2 linked regions of the Callithrix jacchus genome follow. The protein of the gene in region 1 interacts with the protein of each later gene in a pairwise test. Links are inferred from orthologs where the notes say so. Each region holds a gene or a part of one and is shown on either strand. Other genes may lie near its edges. The genes, in order: ARL6IP1 and SNX10.

What was found.
Region 2: the proteins of ARL6IP1 (region 1) and SNX10 interact in binary tests that used the Homo sapiens proteins (3 or more experiments, as listed by UniProt). The two-hybrid records come from large-scale screens. The link is inferred for Callithrix jacchus from reciprocal best matches to the Homo sapiens genes ARL6IP1 and SNX10.

The regions. Positions count from the first base shown.
Region 1 is NC_133513.1:20,240,815-20,251,165, forward strand, and holds the start of ARL6IP1 (ADP-ribosylation factor-like protein 6-interacting protein 1), read right to left. Parts: upstream 5,809-10,351; 5' UTR 5,728-5,808; coding exon 5,692-5,727; intron 3,193-5,691; coding exon 3,059-3,192; intron 2,102-3,058; coding exon 1,982-2,101; intron 1-1,981. UniProt on the Homo sapiens protein: Positively regulates SLC1A1/EAAC1-mediated glutamate transport by increasing its affinity for glutamate in a PKC activity-dependent manner.
Region 2 is NC_133512.1:31,750,272-31,760,627, forward strand, and holds the start of SNX10 (sorting nexin-10), read right to left. Parts: upstream 5,850-10,356; 5' UTR 5,769-5,849; coding exon 5,715-5,768; intron 1-5,714. UniProt on the Homo sapiens protein: Probable phosphoinositide-binding protein involved in protein sorting and membrane trafficking in endosomes. Plays a role in cilium biogenesis through regulation of the transport and the localization of proteins to the cilium.

The sequences.
Region 1 (10,351 bases):
AGATCCAAATAAATTCTGCACTACATCTATCAGAATCCAACCAAACAGCTGTATTTGAACACTCTTCAGTAACATACTAACTACTAGCATTTAACACGTAACACCCCCAACTGGGCCCCATACATTTGATGACAAGGCAGCAGTAAGCTCAAATCTAAATTCTTCTTTATAAACTTAGTCCTAGGGAAAGAAAACATAATCAACGAACAACACACACAGCAGTAAAAAGCCAACAAGAGACCCTCCAAGAAAACCTTTTGTATTTATAATGTTTTCTTGTTTTTTTTTTTTTTAATTGCCTTTGCACTGTCTTCGCTACACAGCTCTAATGGCTGCTATTATTACGTAGGCCTGTGCTGAGGGATGTGTTGCCTTCTCTCCTGTAGCCCTCATCTCTGCAAAACTGCAGTGACAGATAGAGGGATTTCTGCTGAGCCCTGGAACTTCTTTTTAACAGTTAGACATTATTTGTTGCCCATGGTCAAGGCTAGATTGTGGCTATGCAAAAGAGTGTTCTTTTCCCCTATAAGATCAAAAAAGAAACAAAATTTGCTCTATCAATAACTGAGGCACACCATGAAACAATCAGCGGCTATTTCTGAAGTTTCCTCTAGGAGTTATAAATTAGCAGACTGGAATGTCATCTGGCTAAGAAGGCCAAGGTTAGTGGTTTATTTCCTTTGCTAACTCTGTTACATTGAACATCCAGAAACTTGCCCAAAAAAGCCACAGCATTGATTCATTACCACAAGTGAAAAACAATTCAAAGGATAGTTCCTAACATGAATCCATTCTGTTGTTGGGGGAAACAACTTTAAACAAACATTGTTAATTATATGGTAATAAGCAAACTTTGAATTTGTTCCTAAAGATCCCTAAGGTCCACATTTAAAATCATTATATTTAAAGAATTATTTTGCAATTTGCTATCCTCTGAGAAACAACCAACCAAAGGCACAAAGAGAATACTAACCAAATAAAATAAACAGCCAAGGGAGAACAGCAGCTGAGAAGAAAAAAATGTATTCCAACGTCTATTTTGGCTGATTATTTGAATCAAAATTCAACATGCTACAGGAAGTTAAAATACTTTTAAATAATATGATCCTTATCCAGTTAACTATATCTGAGTTCTTAAGCAACCATTTCAGAATGGCATAAATAAAATCAGCAACTCATGTGTATCCAGTTTGAACAACTTCAGAAACACTTGGTATTCCTTTGTTAATCCACTTTATTAATTCCACTGCTTCACTAAGTATCTCAGCCTTAACACAAAATCTACTTAAAAGTCAAAATATTTCACAGTACTTAACAGTGTCTGCCATTTAATAAATAATTGTAGACATTTAATAAATAATTGCTGAACGAATGTGAATGAAAATCTACCAATTTCCTTTTCTGTATTCATTCGAAAATAATTTGTAAAGTTATTATACTATCTTTTTTTTTTTTTTTTTTTATACAGAGTTTCCCTCTTGTTACCCAGGCTGGAGTGCACTGCACTCCAGCCTGGGTAACCCAAGAGGTGACCTCTTGGGTTAAAGCGATTCTCCTGCCTCAGCCTCTGGAGTAGCTGGGATTACAGGCACATGCCACCATGCCTGACTAATTTTGTATTTTTAGTAGAGACAAAGTTTCTCCATGTTGGTCAGGCTGGTCTCGAACTCCCAACCTCAGGTGATCCACCTGCCTCGGCCTCCCAAAGTGCTGGGATTACAGGCGTGAGACACTGTGCCTGGCTATTATATCAACGGAACTGTAAAAATGTATATGTACAGTTACCATAAAAGAACAGAAAACTCATAGTTCATATTCATATTCAAATCAGTTAAGACATTCTTCACATGAAAGCAATACATCTGATGCTTAGGTGTCTGAGGTTAGAAAATTATCTCTGCTTATTTACGGCATACTAATCACAGCCACCACGTTCAGTAACTACACAGAAATTAGACTGCCAAATCATTATGCTACCTACCATTTATTGGAGCCAAAAATTCTAGGCGCTAGAATGGGAACGAGGTAGTCAGCCAAGCACAAAAACATAACAAAACAGGAAACGCCAGAAAGAACAGATGGGTCTAGATAGTAGATAATCCTGTTAAAAAAATCAATAAAGTTTAGAAAAACATAGTCATTATTATTCCTAACTAAACAGAACTAACTTAATTATTCACTTAATCCACTGCTTCTCAGAGATATTTGCCATTTTTTTTCTAATTTTTTCACAAGTGGCTTTCCAGATGCTTGGTGACATGCTGATATCACAGCTGCAATGGTTAAGTAAATATCAATGGACAAACACTCTTTGGAGTTCTCAGTAATTTTTTTTTTTTTCTTGAGGCGGAGTCTCACTCTGTCACCCAGGCTGGAGAGTGCAGTGGCACGATCTCGGCTTACTGCAACCTCCACCTCCCAGGTTCAAGTGATTCTCCTGCCTCAGCCTCCTGAGCAGCTGGAATTATAGGAGTATGCCACCACGCCTGGCTAATTTTTTGTATTTTTAGTAGAGATGGGCTTTCACCATGTTAGCCAGGATGGTCTTCATCTCCTGACCTTGTGACCCACCCACCTCAGCCTCCCAAAGTGCTGGGATTACAGGCCTGAGCCACTGCGCCCGGCCTGGAGTTCTCAGTACTTTTTAATAGTTTAGGGGAGTGGGAGACCAAGGAAGGGATAGCATTAGGAGAAATACCTAATGTAGATGACAGGTTGATGGGTACAGCAAACCACCATGGCACATGTAATATCTATGTAACAAACCTGCATGTTCTGCACGTGTATCCCAGAACTTAAATTAAAAAAAAAAAAAAAAAAAAAAGTGTAAGGATAAGTTTGAGAGTCACTGATTTACCCAAGTGCTTTAGGTCACCAAAAGTACTTACTTTATGTAAGTACTACAAATTCTGGAAACTAGAAGTGCCTATAAGAAAACACATTCTTTCTGGGTTATATATTACAAAAGACTTAAGACACACCCACAAATGAAAGCTATATATTAAAAGGCTTTTATTAACAAGAAACACAACCCGTAGTAATCTGATAGTTCACTTACAGAAACACCAAAGAAACCACACCCATGATGGCAGGTGGAAACCAGGCTCTTTCCCATCGAAGGACTCTATCAGCCATCAGCATCACTTCTCCCCATCCTTGCAGCTGTTCTTCCAGACTTGCAGTCTCTGCAGCCTAAATACCGCCAACATTTAAAGCAATTGTTTTACCACTCTCAACATCTTTGTGGTTCACAAAATTCAATTATTTTAAGGCTCCAAATACATAAAAATAACCTCTTAACCAAATTGCCATTTTAAAGCAAGTTGGTATCTGAAAAACTGCAATTGCAAAGATGAAAACCCAATGGTTTTTTTGTTGTTGTTGTTGTTTTCTGGAGTCTTGCTCTGTCACCCAGGCTGGAATGCAGTGGTGAGATGAAGCTTCTGCCTCACAGGTTCAAGCAATTTTCCTACCTCAGCCTCCGGAGTAGTTGGGACTACAGGCACATGCCACCACACCCGGCTAATTTTTTGTACAGATGGGGGTTTCACCATGTCAGCCAGGCTGGTCTTGAACTCTCGATCTCAAGTGATCTACCAGGCCCAGCCTAAATATCCTTTTAATGGTCACTTTTCTGGTCCAAGCACTGGGCTATTCTTTACATACATGATGTAACTTGATCCTTATAGAGAGCCACAAGGTAGGGATAATTAGACTCATTTTACAATTAAAGAAAGTGAGCTCAAAATAGTTTACTTTCTTAAAGTCATACAGGGAATCATGCGGCAGTGCCTAGAGTATTAATAAAAACGAAATTGCTTTAAGTTTGTTTATTTCGGATGGTTAGAATTGATCTGTTTTGTCATCTTATTGATTTAAACCCTTCTAAATCCATTAGGAAAGACTTTCCTGAACAGCATTCAATTTCTAAAATAGCTCTTTGTGTAATGGAATCACTCAGATGTTGGCATTCATTGCACAATTAAGGAAAACTACTTTCACTAAATTAAAGTGGCATATTAGGCTCAATGTATCTCCTCAGTACAGTGTTTCCTACCACTTAGGAGGTCATTCTGGTTATACTTCAAATTTCTCTATGACTCTGACAGCCGAAAGTGGACCTTTAGGATGAGCTAATGTGGCAAAAGCCCTGAAAACTCGTTTTGATACAGGAAGAAAAAATTAGAAGAAACCCAAGTGTTTGTGTTGAGTCTGGATGCAGTGGCTGACACCTATAATCCCAGCACTTTAGGAGGAAGAGACTGGAGGATTGTTTGAGCCTCAAGAGTATGGGACTAGCCTGGCCTGAGACCTTGTCTCTATAAATGTCATTCACTGGGAAGCATGCAAATGACAGAATCTTAACAAAGACACTTCATCTTAACAAAGCCACTCTATCTGTGCCACGCTGACCACTCTTTTGATCTCAATATTTTTGACTTTATTTCCATGCTTAATACTAATGAAAGAAGAGGCTACCTCCCAGCAGTGGGAACTCTGCTGAGCATTTTATATTTATACTTCAATTAATCTTCCCAACAACCCTAAAAAAGGTGCTATTACTATCCCCATTTTAGAGGAGGAAACAGATAAACAGAGGTTAACAGACTTGCATCCAGGAAACCCAAGACCAAAGGCTTTGCTTTCCTTATTGTTATACTGCTTTGCTGCAAAGCAAGAGCCCTAGCCCAGGATTTGTCATTTCAACAGGGCATGAGCAACTTCTTTGTGCTTCAATTAATCCTCTTAAAAGGAACCATGCTGGGAACTATGTTAGAAGGCGTGTGTTTAAAGGAACAAACCAAGCATTTCTAAAAGCAAATATGAAGTGAAAATAATGCACAATCAAAACTGCCCTGAAGTCACGTCATTGGCCAGCACCTGGGCTCTTGGAAGTTCAAAAGCCCAAAATTAAGTTCTTTGGTTCCGTTTTTCATTGCTGGTGTGTGACCTGCAGTCACAAGGAAGGGTAACCGAGAATATGTAAGGGTATCTTTTTTCTGCCTACATGGTGCACTTAAATTCGTAACAAATGAAATTTACCCGCCTATGATACCTAACATCACTGCAGTTCCTTCGGATCCCCGCTTATTACTCTCAAGTTGTTTCCAGTCGTCCTGTGACCCCACCCCCGCCAGACTTCCAAATTCCAGACAAACGCCAAGACATGCCATTGTCTGTTCAGCTGTACCCCACTCTCTCAGTTCCCCACGGTGAGCTCGCAGCCTCCCTGCGGTTTTAAGTTGTAGCAGCTCTAACAGAAATTCTCAGCAGTAGCCTTTTGACCTTCTATCCTTCCAAGCTTTAGGGGGAAAAGAAAGCAAGCACAGCCAGGTTAAGATCAAAGACGGGGAAAGCCGAATACGGCTGGGGCCTGGGCCCCGAAAGCGCTGGAGAGGCCCCAAGAGGCCTTCTGCCCCCTGCGGCACCCCAGGCTAGTGTCGCAGCCCCAGGCCTCCCACTTCCTCCTCGACCCCTATTGGCGGTTAGGAATCACCCGCCCTCCTCGCCCCGTCGAGCACCGTCCCCAGGAAAGGTCAGGGATCGACACCCAGGGCCAGGCATCGTCGCCTGCGCCAGGAGAGAAGGGACGGGCCCGCGGCGGGTGACAGGGAAGAGGCCGCGGCGTTTGAGCCCACGGACGTCCGGCGGCCTCGCTTGGCTCCCGGGGAACAGGCAGCCAGGACTCACCAGCAGGTTGGAGCTGCGATTATCTCCCTCCGCCATCGTCTCTGAGATGCTGTCTCTTAAGCTCAGGCCACCTTCCAGCGAAACCTCCTACCAGGACTCGCACGGCGACCGCAGCGCACGGGAACGCCCCGCAGACCGCTTATATGGGTTGTCTGCCCTTCCCGACAGCCCCCGCGATACTCGCTCCTCATTGGACAGGCTGAGCTCACGCCTCCGGGAAGCCGGACCAACCGAAGTTCAGCGCATGGCTTGAAATCGAGGTCAAAGGAGACAGAGGCGGTGTCGGGCCGAGGGGAGGGGACACGGAGTGGCCAATCAGCGTTCAGAGACTGCGCGACATCCCACCCAGGTCTGTCGGTAGCGGTTCAACGGCCGCCGCAGGGGGCGCTGTCCCGCAATGGTTCCCCAGTTCCGGCCTCCGCGGCCGCTTTCTAACCCTCTTTGTCTGGCTCTCGCAGCCCAGGAGCCTCTCCGAAAAAAGAGCTCCTCGGAGAGATACCGCGCCGCCTGAAGCGGAGGACGCCGGGCCTGCGACACTTAACCTATTCGTGGCCCCTAGGCGACTGGGATCCACTCCCTCTACGGTCCGGTGCCTTCGTCAGGCACCTGAGCCGTTTAGCCCCGATTTGCGACTCGCGAGGTTTTTTTTTTTTTTTTTTTGAGACGCAGTTCCGCTCTTGTTACCCAGGCTGGAGTGCAATGGCGCGATTTCGGCTCACCACAACCTCCGCCTCCTGGGTTCAGGCAATTCTCCTGCCTCAGCCTCCTGAGTAGCTGGGATTACAGGCACGCACCACCATGCCCAGCTAATTTTTTGTATTTTTAGTAGAGACGGGGTTTCACCAAGTTGACCAGGGTGGTCTCGATCTCTTGACCTTGTGATCTACCCGCCTCGGCCTCCCAAAGTGCTGGGATTACAGGCTTGAGCCACCGCGCCCAGCCCTGCGAGGTTTTGAGGACAAATGAAAAGAGCTCTTTGTGTAGATTTTGCTGCAATGTTTCTCTTCTACCCAGTAGAAATAAGGCCTTAGTGGAAAAACCCAGGCCTGGTTTGAGAACGTGTGAAAAATGCACCGCCCTCTAAGTGGCTTATTATACGTGGGTGCTTAAGTTACTTAAACTACGCGCTCCCTTTCCAAAAGGATTTTTTGTTTTTTGAGACGGGGGAATCTCGCTCCATTGCCCAGGCTGGGGTACATTAGCGCGATCTCTGCTCACTGTAGCCTCCATCTCCCGGGTTCAAGTGATGCTCACGCCTCAGCCTCCGGAGTAGCGGGAATTACAGGCGCCTGCCTCCATGCCCGGCCAATTTTTGTATTTTAGTAGAGACGGGGTTTCACCATGTTGGCCAGGCTGGTCTCAAATTCCTGACCTCAAGAGATCCACCCGCCTTGGCCTCTCAAAGTGGTGGGATTACAGGCGTGAGCTGCCGCGCCCGGCCAAAAGGATAGTTCTGATACGACTTTTCTACCATTAGAAGATTAGAAGTCAGCAGCTTAGCAACTGTGTTGAGACACTTGTACATGTTTTCTATCCAGGATTTCAAATGCAGTTAACAAGTGCTTTTTTTTTTTCTTTGGAGACAGAGCCTCACTCTGTTGCCCAGGTTGGAGTGCAGTAGCCACCGCGCCCGGCCAATTTTTTATTTTTCAATACAAACAGAATCATGCCAAATGCTGTCCTGATCAGGTTTCAGGTGAATTAACTATAGTTTTAACTTCCAACCTTTTTTTTTCCGAGGCGGAGTTTCGCTCTTGTTACCCAGGCTGCAGTGCAATGGCGCGATCTTGGCTCACCGCAACCTCCGCCTCCTGGGTTCAAGCAATTCTCCCGCCTCAGCCTCCTGAGTAGCTGGGATTACAGGCACACGCCACCATGCCCAGCTAATTTTTTTTTTTTTTTTTTTTGTATTTTAGTAGAGGCGGTTGACCATGTTGACCAGGTTGGTCTTGATCTCTTGACCTCTTGATCCACCTGCCTCGGCCTCCCAAAGTGCTGGGATTACAGGCGTGAGCCACCGCAACTTCCAACCTTTTATCCTTTTATACAGGTTTTAACTTCCAATCTCTTACCTATTGTGCCATTGAATTTAAATTTATTTTTAAAATGTTCCTTAAGTAACCACCAGGTTCTTAAAAGTTCAAGAAGTCATCAATGTGAGAGAACACAGCTGCAGGCCGCATACTGCCCCTAAGAGAGCTGGGCAAGGGAAGGAGCACTGTGAATTTCATGGAAGGGTGTTGGTTTGCTGTGGGTCTTTTGGGGGAAGGTGGAGTGAAACATCTGAATCAGGGAGAAGCACGTGAGAAAAAAAGCCTTTGTAACGGAAGCTGACTGTTCAATAAATTGCCACTCTGGAGAATGTTGGGGAAAAGAAGTTTTACAGGCAGGATACAGCCAGTTGACAGAGACGCTATTTGGGAAGATTTTAAAGATATGGAGTCTGAGACGAGCAGGTTCTTCTTCACACCCTCGAAGAAGAAAAAAAAAAAAAGGAATCCCTGGGAGGCCGAGGCAGGTGGATCACGAGGTCAAGAGATCGAGACCAGCCTGGTCAAACAAGGTGAAAACCCGTCTCTACTAAAAATACAAAAAAATTAGCTGGGCGTGATGGCACACACCTGTAGTCCCAGCTACTTGGGAGGCTGAGGCAGGAGAATTGCTTGAACCCAGGAGGCGGAGGTTGCGGTGAGCCGAGATCGCGCCATTGCACTCCAGCCTGGGTAACAAGAGCGAAACTCCGTCTCAAAAAAAAAAAAAAAGGAATCCCTTGAGCCCAGGAGATTGAGGCTGCAGTGACTTGATTGCACCTACTGCACTCCAGGTTGGGCGATAGTGCAAAAACTGTCTCAAAACAAACAAATAAAAAGATCCAGGCAATCTGCAGCCACATAATTCATGAACATGTTGAGCACTGGGTGCATAATCTTGCTAGACCTACAGTAATAGCCACTTCCAAAAGAGAGACTATGGGTTATTAGGTTTAAAGCTGACATTTCATTAGCTATGTGTGGTGGCGCGTGCCTGTAGTCCCAACTACTCTGGAGGCTGAAACAGGAGAACTGCTTGAACCCGGGAGGGGGAGGTTGCAGTGAGCCGAGATCGTACCACTGCACTCCAGCCTGGTGCCTGCCTGGCTATGAAACAAGACTCTGTCTCAAACAAAAAAAAAACAAACTGACATTTCTACTTTGGGAAACCAGCTTTTGCTGCAGAGTACGCTTCTCGTTTTCACCCAAGTTTTCCACGTACTACTTAAGACTTGTTAATACCAGCATGTGGAATAGAGTAGGTGAAAAAACAGAACCAACTCAAGCAGCAGTTTCTTCACTTAGTATTTATTTTTGTTACTTAACAAATAATGTGTTCCCATACCTATTTTCAAATGATCTCTCACTAAATTTCCTATTGGTCTAATGATTAAAAACACCCACCCTTAAGGTAGCTTTCTTTAGAGCTTTTTTTTTTCCTACTGAGACAGGATGTGATCTTTTGAAATGTGCCAGATGACTAAGCAGTTAACATAAATCCTAACATCATCAAGCAGCACCAAATGCAATCTTCAAGATACAAAGCCTGCTGGACATTTTCTATTTTCTTTCAGAGGTTTCACACAAGGAATGCATCTGTCACTATTGAACTATGGGAATTCTGTTTTTAAATATTGCCAAAATTAAGCTTTATAAATTGGACCTTAAAGCAGAATTTTATCATTGAAGTAAAATTTCCACTGTTCAAAAATACAACAGAAGTTTGAGAGTAAAATAATTACTTTTCTGAGAATTTAGGGGTTTTTTGTGGGGTTTTTTTTTTTTTTTGAGGTATTAATGCTATTCAGAAAAAAATGGCTAGGCTTGGCTTGGCTCAGGACTGTAATCCCAGCACTTTGGGAAACCAAAGATGGAGGATAACTTGAGCCCAGGAGTTCAAGATCGGCCTGGGCAACACAGGGAGACTGTTTTCTTGTTTGTTTTTTTAAAGCTACCCAGGTTCCAAAAGGTTCCAAGTTTTCTAGAATCTACTTTGACCAATAAATTCAGAACTTAAATGCTGTATCTTCTGCGACTGAATCTTTATTTTCTGAAAAACAGGTATTTCATACAATCTTTGCCATGTTAATGCAAATATGCACAAAGTAGGCATGTATTTTTGTTTTCCAAAAGATGCATTATGAACATTTTCAGGAAGCTGGTGTGATTTATTCAACTTTTAAATACAGTCACAAAATTATATCCATCAGGAGGCATTACAACCTTTTGTACAGAGAAGCCACTATTTATACAATGTTACTAGGACAAGGAAGATTCAGTTCAACTCAACTTGCTCTTAGAATAAGGGTAAAAGTAAATTAACAAGTAAGTGAAGTATAATGTTGTTGCCACTGACATTACAGGTGGAAATATAAGGGAAATTTAAACCAGAAAATGACACAACTTTAAAGAGGAGCTGAAACCTTGACTGTCAAGAAAAGAAAAAAACTATTAGCCTGTTTTCAAATAAAAACATTCCAAAAGTCTGCATTTCAGAACAACATAGAATTCTTTTAAGTTTACCATCTTCAAAAATCTACTTAATTGTATGACACTTTTACATTGGCACAACGAAAACTTTTTCTACTAAGTCCAGTCAAATTCCCATGGAAAAGCAAAAGACCCTAAGT
Region 2 (10,356 bases), on another chromosome or scaffold:
TCACAGAGACAACGCGGACAGCTCCCGGTCATCAGGTCACCTGATAGCCACATTCCCTCAGAATGTGGTGGCAGCTTCACTTTTTCACTTAAGAGGCAGAAGTTCTTGGATATACCAAAAAGGGAGATTATTTCCAACAGCTCAGTGTTCCACATTAACAGAAGAAGACATGCACCCATTACTGATAGAGCGAGGCTTCACGCAGATTAAATAAAACAAAAAGAAAACACGTTTGTCAATTTGCCACAAATCTGTTGTTGAAAAAAAGAATTGCTTTGGCATTATCTTTTAGGTAAAAAGATAAAACATTTGACTAAAAGGGAAGGGGATGTTGAATACATATTCTAAAACCATACTGGAAACAAATATATCTTCAAAGAACACAGCAATGCATTTTAAATGCACTCAAAATTCAATGCAGCACTAAGATTCCACATATTTTTTCATTCCTGAAAATCTTTAACTTGGTGTGCTAAATATCACTATTCTCTTGTGGATGGCAAACTTTTCTTCCTTTTCTCCTCCCTGAAACATTTCTGTGCCCCTGAGAGCATCCCAGGCTATTGTTCTTTGCATCCTATTACAATTCTAGGGTGACCTCATCCAAACACATTCAACCCCCTCGAATGAGTTGATGGTCCCCATCCAAAGCTCCATCCCAGTTCAGGCACCTCTCCCATGGATCCAACCTCTAGCCTGGTCCACCTAGAAGTCCCCTGAGCATGCTGTGCCCATTCCCTTCCCACATCATTCTGCTTCCCTTCTCAGTGAAAAGCATCTCCCACCAACCTCAGCGAGAAACCCAGTGCCCCCAAACTTCTGTGTTTGACTCATTTCTCAAATTCACAAAGACCAAGTCCTTCAGAGTCGTTCTCCTTGGAACCACCAACAACTATTCCCTCTGCTGTTCCCTGGGTTTACGGACTTCTTTCCCAACATTAATGCAAGAACTGCTAATTTATCTCTGGGCCCACATCCAATGCATTCCCCACATGAAGACAAGAATGGCTCCAAAACACGTAACTGATGACGCTGCTTTCCTCCTGAAAATCCTTCAAAGCCTGCCCCATAACCTTCAAGATCAAGTCCAAACTCCTCAGCTAGTACAATACAGCCTTTCACGATTTTCACTCTGTTTATCTTCAAAGACTAAGTGTAGGTCCCCATATGCAACATGCCACTTCACACATCCACGCCTTTGACCAAGCTGTTCTCTTTGCCTGGATTGCTGGGCCACCCTACTGCCCTTTTTAATTTTTTTTTTAATCTTCTCTTTTCCTCTACTACTTTTTGCTAACTCCAATTCATTTTTCAAATGCAATTTGGTCACCACTTTTCCTGGGAATCCTTCTCAGACCTACCGTGCTGTACTGTAATTACCTGCAGGCCTCCTCTAACAGGCGCTAAGCTCCTGTAGGGCAGCTTAGGCTGTCTTGTAAGACTTGAATGCCTGATACATCCAATGCATTCTATTAGTATCATTTAATGAATAAATAAATGCCTGCAGGAATAAACAAACTGCCTTCAGGGAAAGAAGATCAAACTTCACTTGAAATTAAAACATCATCTACTTGGATTCTTGGACTCCATGAATTAATGATAAGTTATTTAGCAGCTGGTCTAAAGTTTATCTTAATTTAACAAACCCCTTCCTCTAAGGATGTGCCAATTAACAGCATAAGGATACAAGAGCAATATTTAAGATCTGGGAAAATAAACTGTCTTCCAGCACCCGGAAGAACTCCAGAAGCACCTATTTACATAGAAATAATTTAAAATCCTTCTGATAGCTTCAATAACCTAGTCCCCCAAGACTTACACCAGGCAACAATTTGTTAGCCTAGTTGGAGTTAAAATATGTACTTGAAAGTAATAAAAGTACATTTATTTTAAAATATTCTATAATTCACATGGGTCTCCCCCTCCCCCACTCTGCAATTAGCAGGAATTAGTGAAGTTTCACCATACTCTCAGCTACAAATAGCACACCCAGGAAGCCAAGGTTCACCTCTAATCTCTTAATTAGACGCATCCCTCACGACACTGCCTGCCATCCTTCAAGGGAATGTTGACAGGCTGTCAGCCACAGAGGACAGTTCCACAGCCCCTTACCTAGAATCATATGGATTTCCTAGGAAAATTGCTTCAGCAGCTGCAGTTAGTCTATTTAATAACATTATTAAACACTTTAATGACTTCTTGGGCCTAATGACTATATGCAGTATGAAAAAGCCAGGAAGAGTGGAATTAAAAATTTAGACTAACTGTCCCTACTGTTCTCCATGTGAAAAGACTTCTAAAGAAAGACAGACTCCTAGACTCTTTGAAGATCTAATTCCTGTATTCTCCTAAGATAATCACCCTTTGATTTCAATGTACCCTGTTTTTCCCCCATTCCGGCTTGACCATAATCCACTTCTACCCTGTCCTTTTTTTCTTAGCCCGTACATGAAATGAAACTATAATAAAAATAACTGTATTGTATTTATACAAGGGCACTTGACATGTGGCAGGTATTGCACTGTTTCACAAATGTTTTCCTTCAATCTTTCCAACAACCCTCAGAGCTCAATATATTCTTATCCTACTTTCCAAATTTTAAAAATGAGGCTTCTAAAGCTTAAGCAACTTGCCCAAAGTCAATGACCAGGCTGAGCCAGGCTTCAAACTCAGATCTGTCTTGTCTCAAAGACTGTACTCTCAAACATGTTCTATCTAGCAATTTTTATAGCAATAATAAATATTAGGCAATTTCCAATTTTACTGTAATTGCATTGTTTTGGACGTGGAAGTTTTTTCCGCTTTTATTAGCTAAAATACCAGTTCAAACAACATGCTCTTTTCAAACTCTGTCCTTATGGGTTCTTAAAGCTTTGTATTTCATTTTTGCATTTCTAGCACCAAGCATGGTACTAGCACACAGTAAGTGCATATTAAATGTTTCAGAATTAAACAACTGGTTACAAGTAAGATTTTTTAAAAGGCAGAGGTTCTCTATACTGAAAATCATAAGATGCTATTGAAAGAAATCAAAGCAGAGACTACTATGTTCATAAATTGGAAGACTCAACATAGTAAAGAGATAAATTCTCCCCCAATTGATCTGTAAGTTTAACATAATTCCTATCAAAAAAATCTCAGCAAGAATTTTTTAAAGACACAGATGGGCTTATATTAAAATTTATATAGAAAAGGAAAGGTCTTAGAATAGCCAAAAAATTTCTGAAAAAGAATAAAGTGGGAGGAAGCCTTCTTCCCAATGTTAAGACACAGTTGATCAGTGAAATGCAGAACAGAAAACCCAGAGACAGACCAACACAAATATGCTCATTTGACAAAGGCGCAAAAAAAAAAAAAATTCAGTGGAGAAGAAAAAGCCTCTCAACAAACGATTATGCAGCAACTGGACATCCATAGGTCAAGAGATGAACCTCAACCTAAAGCTTGCACCTTATACAAAACCCAACACTAAATAAACCACAGATGTAAATGTCAAACATAAAGCATCAGAGAAAACGTTTAGAAAAAAAAATTCAGAGAAAACCGTTCAGTCTAGTACTAGGAGAAGAGTGCTTAGACTTGATCTCAAAAAGGCAATCCACAGAAGGATAATCAATTAAGCTTCATCAAACTAAAAATCTTTGCTCTGCAAAAGACACCATGAATAAGGTTAAAAAAAAAGCACATTACAAATTGGAAGAAATATTTGCAAATTACACATCCCACAAAGGACTTGCATTTAGAATATATATATATATATATTTAAATAACCTCTTAGACCGATGAGGTGGCTTTCTCTTGTAATCCCAGCACTTTGGGAGGCCAAGGTGGGAGTATCCCTTGAGCTCAGGAGTTCAAGACCAGCCTGGGCAACATGGTGAAACCCCATCTCTATGAAACATTTAAAAATTATTTAAAAATTAGCTGAGTGGAGTGGCTTGTACTTGTAGTCCCAGCTACTCAGGAAGCTGAGGTGGGACTCAATTGCTTGAGCCTGGTGGGTGGGTGGGAGGTTGCAGTGAGCCGAGATCACGCCACTGCACTCCAGCCTCAGCAACAGACAGACCCTGTCTCAAAATAAACTCATTCACTCACTCTAAAAACTCAATATTTAAAAAACAGAATTCAATTTAGAATACAGGCAAAAGACATGAAGACACATTTCACCCAAAGAGGGCATACAGACGGCAAAAATCATGTGGAAAGATGTTTAATATCATTAAACACCAGGAAAATACAAATTAACCCCACGGTGATATAGCATACATACCTATTACAGTTTCTATGAGGATCCACACTATTTTTTATTTTAGCCATTGTGATAGATGTGTTTTTAAAATTTCCCATCATAGCCTAGCTTGAATCTTTGTAGCAGAGTAAAAATGAGTAGGTGTTAACTGTAAAAATATTTACTTAGATTACAGAAATATCACAAAAGACAGAAGCTAATAAAGCAGAATGTCTAGGTGTTAAGTGAATATTAATTTTTCATAGCTTTGATGAGAATTTTCTATCATAAAAATGTAAACTTGTCTCAGTTTGTTCTTCCTTCTTGGGACATTTTTTTTCTACTTCAAAGTAGTGCTTTAAAGATTCATGTATTTAAACTGGAGACTCATTCGTTCATTCATTCATTCACTTAAAATATATTGTGCACCAACAATGCACTAGGTACTTTTCTATACAACTAATGATTATAGAATTTACCAATGTCTTAATCACCAGAGTGCTATTCAGGACCCCCATATAACAATCTCACAACTAAAATCTGGCATATTTTACATGCTATATTCTTTACAAATAACAATGGAAAGGCAGAATGAATATATCAAATAACCTTCCTTTATTTCCTAAAACAGCTGTAACAAATAACTTAAAAGACATATGACAAGTGATATTACTTGCCACTCTATAGCATGGAGTATGTTTAAATACCATCCTCTGGTGGTACTGAATGATGATTTTTTGAAAAGCTTTTTATTACTTCAGGATAAACAACTGTGAATGAGATTTAGCTAGACCTGCCTTTTACATGACTTGTAACAGTTCATGATGTTGCAAGTTTCTTTACACAAGTAGTATCCCAAATCAGCAAGAGTTACCTTTTCATATCTCATAACACATTAGGAAAAGTGCAGTTAAAATAAAAAAAAAAAACTCGTCTTTTGCAACAAGAAATAATTGGCATCCACAAGGATGCAATCAGCAAAATCTAAAATATGAAAATCTCTATAAGGCAAACTATGTTAATTTCTTCAACAAATAAACTGCAAAAGGGAGAAAAGAGAGAATTAAAGACTTTAAACAATCTTATCAACCAAATGCAATGTGTGGTCCTTATCTGAATCCTAATTAAATAGATAATTAGAACAACCAGCTATATAATTTTTTTTCAAAATAATCAAGGTAATTTGAACACTGAATATTTGATGATATGAAGCAATTGTTTAATTATTTAACATGAGATAATGTGGTCCATTTTTTAAAAGGTCATTTGTTAGAAATGTATACTGAAATATTTACAGATGAAATTATATAATATCTAGAATTTGTTTCCAAATAATTTACTGTGGTAGCAGGAGGAAATAGGTGGGGGAGGGGTATAGCTTGGCTATGAGTTAATAATGCGTTAGTAAATTGCTGAAGCTGGGTGGTAGGTATATACATGGGGGTTCATTATATTTTCATCTCTACCATTATATTATCATCTTTACCTTGTGTATTTTTTGTTTCGGGGGTTTAAGAGGCGAGGTCTCACTCCGTTGCATAGGGTGGAATGCAGTGGCTATTCATGATTGCTCACTGTAGCCTCGAACTTCTAGGCTCAAGTGATCCTCCTGCATTGGCCAAGTAGCTGGAGTTACAGACATGTACCACCACACCCAGCTTCATGCAATTTTTTAACACTGATGGGAGTATTTATATAGGTGTATATTTTGTTTACTGGTTTATTCACTGTACAATCTTACAGAAATCTTTTTATGTGAGCATATACATGTCAATGATATTTGTTTTTAAATAAACTTTTTTATTTTAAACAGTTTTAGATATACAGAAATTATGAAGATGGTACAGAGAGGTCCTATATACCCCACACTCAACTTCTCCTATTATTAACATTTTATATCAGTATGCTGCATTTATCACAATTCATTAATCAATATTGACATTATTATTAACTGAAGTCCATATTTTATTAAGATTTCTTTAGTTTTCACCTAATGTCATTGATCTGTTCCATAATCCCACCCAAGATACATTCATTATATTTAGTCATTGTGTTTCCTTGGGCTCCTCTTGTCTGTGACAGTTTCTAGGGTATTCCTTGTTTTTCATGACCTTGACAATTTGAGGAGCCCTGGTAGGTATTTTGCTGAATGTCTCTGAATGTCTCTGATTTATCTGATGCTTTTCTCATTATTAGATTGATGTCATAGGTTTTTGGAAGGAAGGCCACCCATTTAAGAGGGTAAAGTGCCATTTTTATCACTTCAAGGGCACATGCTATCAACGTAGCATCACCATGGGTGTTAACAGTGATCACCTGGCTGAGGAAGTATTTGTCAGATTTCTCCACTATAAAGGTATTCTTTTTTCATTTCTAAACAAATGTGAAGATGAATTTATGCTTACTAATTCTTTCTTTTTTTAAGCCACTTCTAATTTAAACAGAGCTGGTGAAGTATTTCTTGAAATGTGTTAGAACACTAATCTGGAAGAATGAGATATTAAACTATAAATTCTATATGATCTCAGTTTTCTAAAAATGACATATACATATGTATAGAAAAAGACTAAAAAGAAATATCCCCAAGTTTTATTTTTCCTGTACACTTTTCCAAAATGTTCTGCAGTGAATTATTTTAAAATCTGGAAGAAGGGTTAAAAAAAAAAAAAAGAAGGAAGAGCTCTCTCTGGGACAGGCTCAGAAAAAAATATCAGAGTCCTCACAGTAACTGTAACACAAATGTAGTGCTCAGAATGACAGCAGCATTCTCTAAAACCTAGTGTGTATGTGTGAAGACAATATTCCCAGCTACTTTTCTTTGCTTACAGAAGACTGTAAATTGCCTCTTGTGGAAACTTAACTATTTCTTCAAATAGGAACACTTAATAACCGAGTATAACAGAGACTGAGAAAAGATGTAGAGAGGCTGGGAGATGAAAAAGGAAGGAAGAAGAAAGGAGGGAGAGGGGAACAAATTTAGGTTTTGGGGAGTGAGAAAATGTTTTGTCTTGTTGCTTCCCATTGAAGTACCCAGCATCACAGAATCCTAGATAATACTATTTATTTGTTAATTATATTCATCAGTTGCAGCCCAGTCAGTGTCCAGTCCATTTCCCAATATCTTGCATGCTTTCCTAGACAGAGCAAGTCTAAAATATTACCACAGGTCAGCATAAGCATATCTCGAACATATTAATATTAACCCTAGGGGCTGCTCATCCAAAATGGCAACATATCCCTCCCTGCCTGCTCTCCCTATAGCACCCCATCTCCTCCCTCAGTGGTGGGGTCCTCATGGTTTGTGCAACTCTCTGGGGCCCACTCCGGCCTGCCCTACTCAGCATATTCCCTGCCAAAGAACTGATGGATGTATCTTTGCTAAGGCATCAACAACTGGTAGTGCCTAGAAGCTGCTGTTATTCCTACTATGAAGTATGTGCATTTTGGAAGGGGAAAAGCACTTGTCTTAAAGGGATAAATCTCTAAAAGGAGAATGCAGCCATCATGATCCAGGAGAGCAGGGGAGACATGCATGCATGCGCACATACATCCAAAAAAGGTTTCAGCCTGCTTTTCAGGTCACATCACACAGGGAGGAACAGTTTAGTTATAGTAAGTGAGCCCTGGGCCAAGGAAAGAGCACAGTGCCCTTATGGAGGGAGCAGCAGCATAACAGGCGCCCAGGAGAGAGAATGTCCAACTCCATGAAATGGACTGTGTCCAGCCGGAGCAAATGCTCACACATACACCCCACAAGATGAGTTCCGGGAAGCTGAGGCAACCATCCTGAGTAGGGCAGAAAAATCAAACAGCTCAGTCTGGACATTCGAATATTAAAAGAACGAAAATGCCTAGCTCCACAAAAGACACTGTCTGAAACGTGCTTCCTGTCACAGGCACCTGCCTTTCCATTTGGAGTCTGGGTTCTGTCTCATTAAACAGAAGAGTTGATTCAGTTGGGTCCATCTAATTATTCTTATTAAAATATGTAACCATAATATTTTAATTGTAAATTAAAGTTGCACGCATGAATGAATCTGAATTCATTTTAATTTCACAATGGCCCAATGCCAAGGCCTTTTTATGGAGAAGATCCATCAGCTAGGATACTGCTCTCCTGGGAATTCAAACCAACGTGCAAATGGAACATGTTTAACTAACAAGGGAGATTCTCACTCCCTTTTCTCCTCTTTCTAGATGTATTACAGTCATAAAGCTGTTTTAACAACAGCGACTACATTTGATTCCTCACCCCCAAAATGTTAAAAAAAATTACTAAATGTTAAAGTTAATACTACCAATTAGATAGAACCAAGATGTCACTCCCAGGCTGTATGAATCTTGTACAAGGATGGTAAATAAATCTCAATTCATGTGCCAACCTCATGATTAATTAGTAATGTCTGCTGTGGGTGCTGAGAGGAGTGTACCCTCAGTCTAGATCCCGAAACAATCAGTCCTACTGCATTTGGTGCTTACATATTCCATTAGGTGGAACCTGAATTACTTTCCACTAAACAACCAGACACTAAGATATTGAAAGGCTTGACCTAAACCCCCTCTACTTCTAACTGGCATTGACGACAGGCTGCTGCTGGGGAGGTGACTAGATAAATATATCTTTTATAGTTAAAGGTTTAGAAAGCTGCTTCTTTACTTCTAGGATAAGGAGAAGTTAGCCAGTCAATACAGTGTGAAGTCTAGGGGAAGAGATTACTCCAGGCAGTGGAAAAAAACATGTGTAAAAGTCCATGGGGGTGAGAGCACATGGAACATTCAAGGCTCTAAAATAAGCTCTGAAATGAGGAACAAGAAGTGCACTTGAGTGGCATGTGGGGCGCAAGAGAGAAGTTTGGAGAAAGAAGCAGGTTTGGATCTTGCAGAGTGCTAGAGACCATGTGAAGGTGTTTTGACTTTGTTCTAAGAGCAATGGATTTGAAGCAGGCGATCATTCTAGCTATACCAAGTGACTCTGCACACTGTCACACATGGTGCTGAGAGGGTTACTCTACCCATGACTCCTTTGGTAGGATGACCAGAAGCTCCGCCCTTGGACCCCACCTGACTGCCTATGTGTCCAGCTCTTACTTTGCCTGGTTCTCATTTGCGTTCTTTTTCTATAATAAGTAGTATCTGTGAGGATAACAGCTCTGAGTTCTGTTTTTCTAGTGAATTATTAAACTTGAAAGTGGTTTGGGAAAGCCCCAAGCTTGCAATTGGTGTTGGAGGCAAGGGCAGTCCTATGGGAACTATGCCCTTAGCCTTGCAGTTTCATTAAGTTCGTGGGCGGGTATTTCCTGGAGCAAGCAGCTTGGTCTCAGTATTACTTAGTACAAGATGGAAAAAGTATGCATGGTCTAGGTATTGTGTAAGGTCACCTCTGGGGGTGGAAGTGAGGGGGACTGACTGGAAAGGGGCACAAGGTACCTTCTGGGAAGCCAGAAACGTCTATACTTTGATCTGAGTGGTAGTTACACAGGTGTATAAAAATCCATTTAGGCCATGCTCAGTGGCTCATGCATGTAATCCCAGTTCTTTGGGAGGCTGAGGCAGGAGGATCACTTGAAGCCAGAAGTTGAAGACCAGTCTAGGCAACAAAGAGAGACCTGTCTCTATTAAAACAAACAAACAAAAAAATCCATTGAGCTACATACATAAGATTAGGACACCTTATGCATTTTACTGTACATATTATAGCCCAGTTTTTTCGTTTTTCGTGGGTTTTCTTCTGAGACAGATTCTCACTCTGTCACCCAGGCTGGAGTGTAGCAGCACGATCTCAGCTCACTGCAACCTCCACATCCCAGGTTCAAGAGATTCTTGTGCCTCAGCCACCCAAGTAGCTGGAACTACAGACGTGTGCTACTACACCTGGCTAATTTTGGTATTTTTAGTAGAGATGGGGTTTTCCCATTTTGGCCAGGCTGGTCTCGAACTCCTGACCTCAAGTAATCCAACCATCTTGGCCTCTCAAAGTGCTGGGATTACAGGCATGAGCCATAGTGCCCAGCCAATTTTTCTGGTTTTTTGTTTTTGGTTTGAGATAGGGTCTTGCTCTGTCACCTGGGCTAAAGTGCAGTGGCATGATCTTAGCTCACTAGAACCCCTGACTCCTGGGCTCAAGCGAT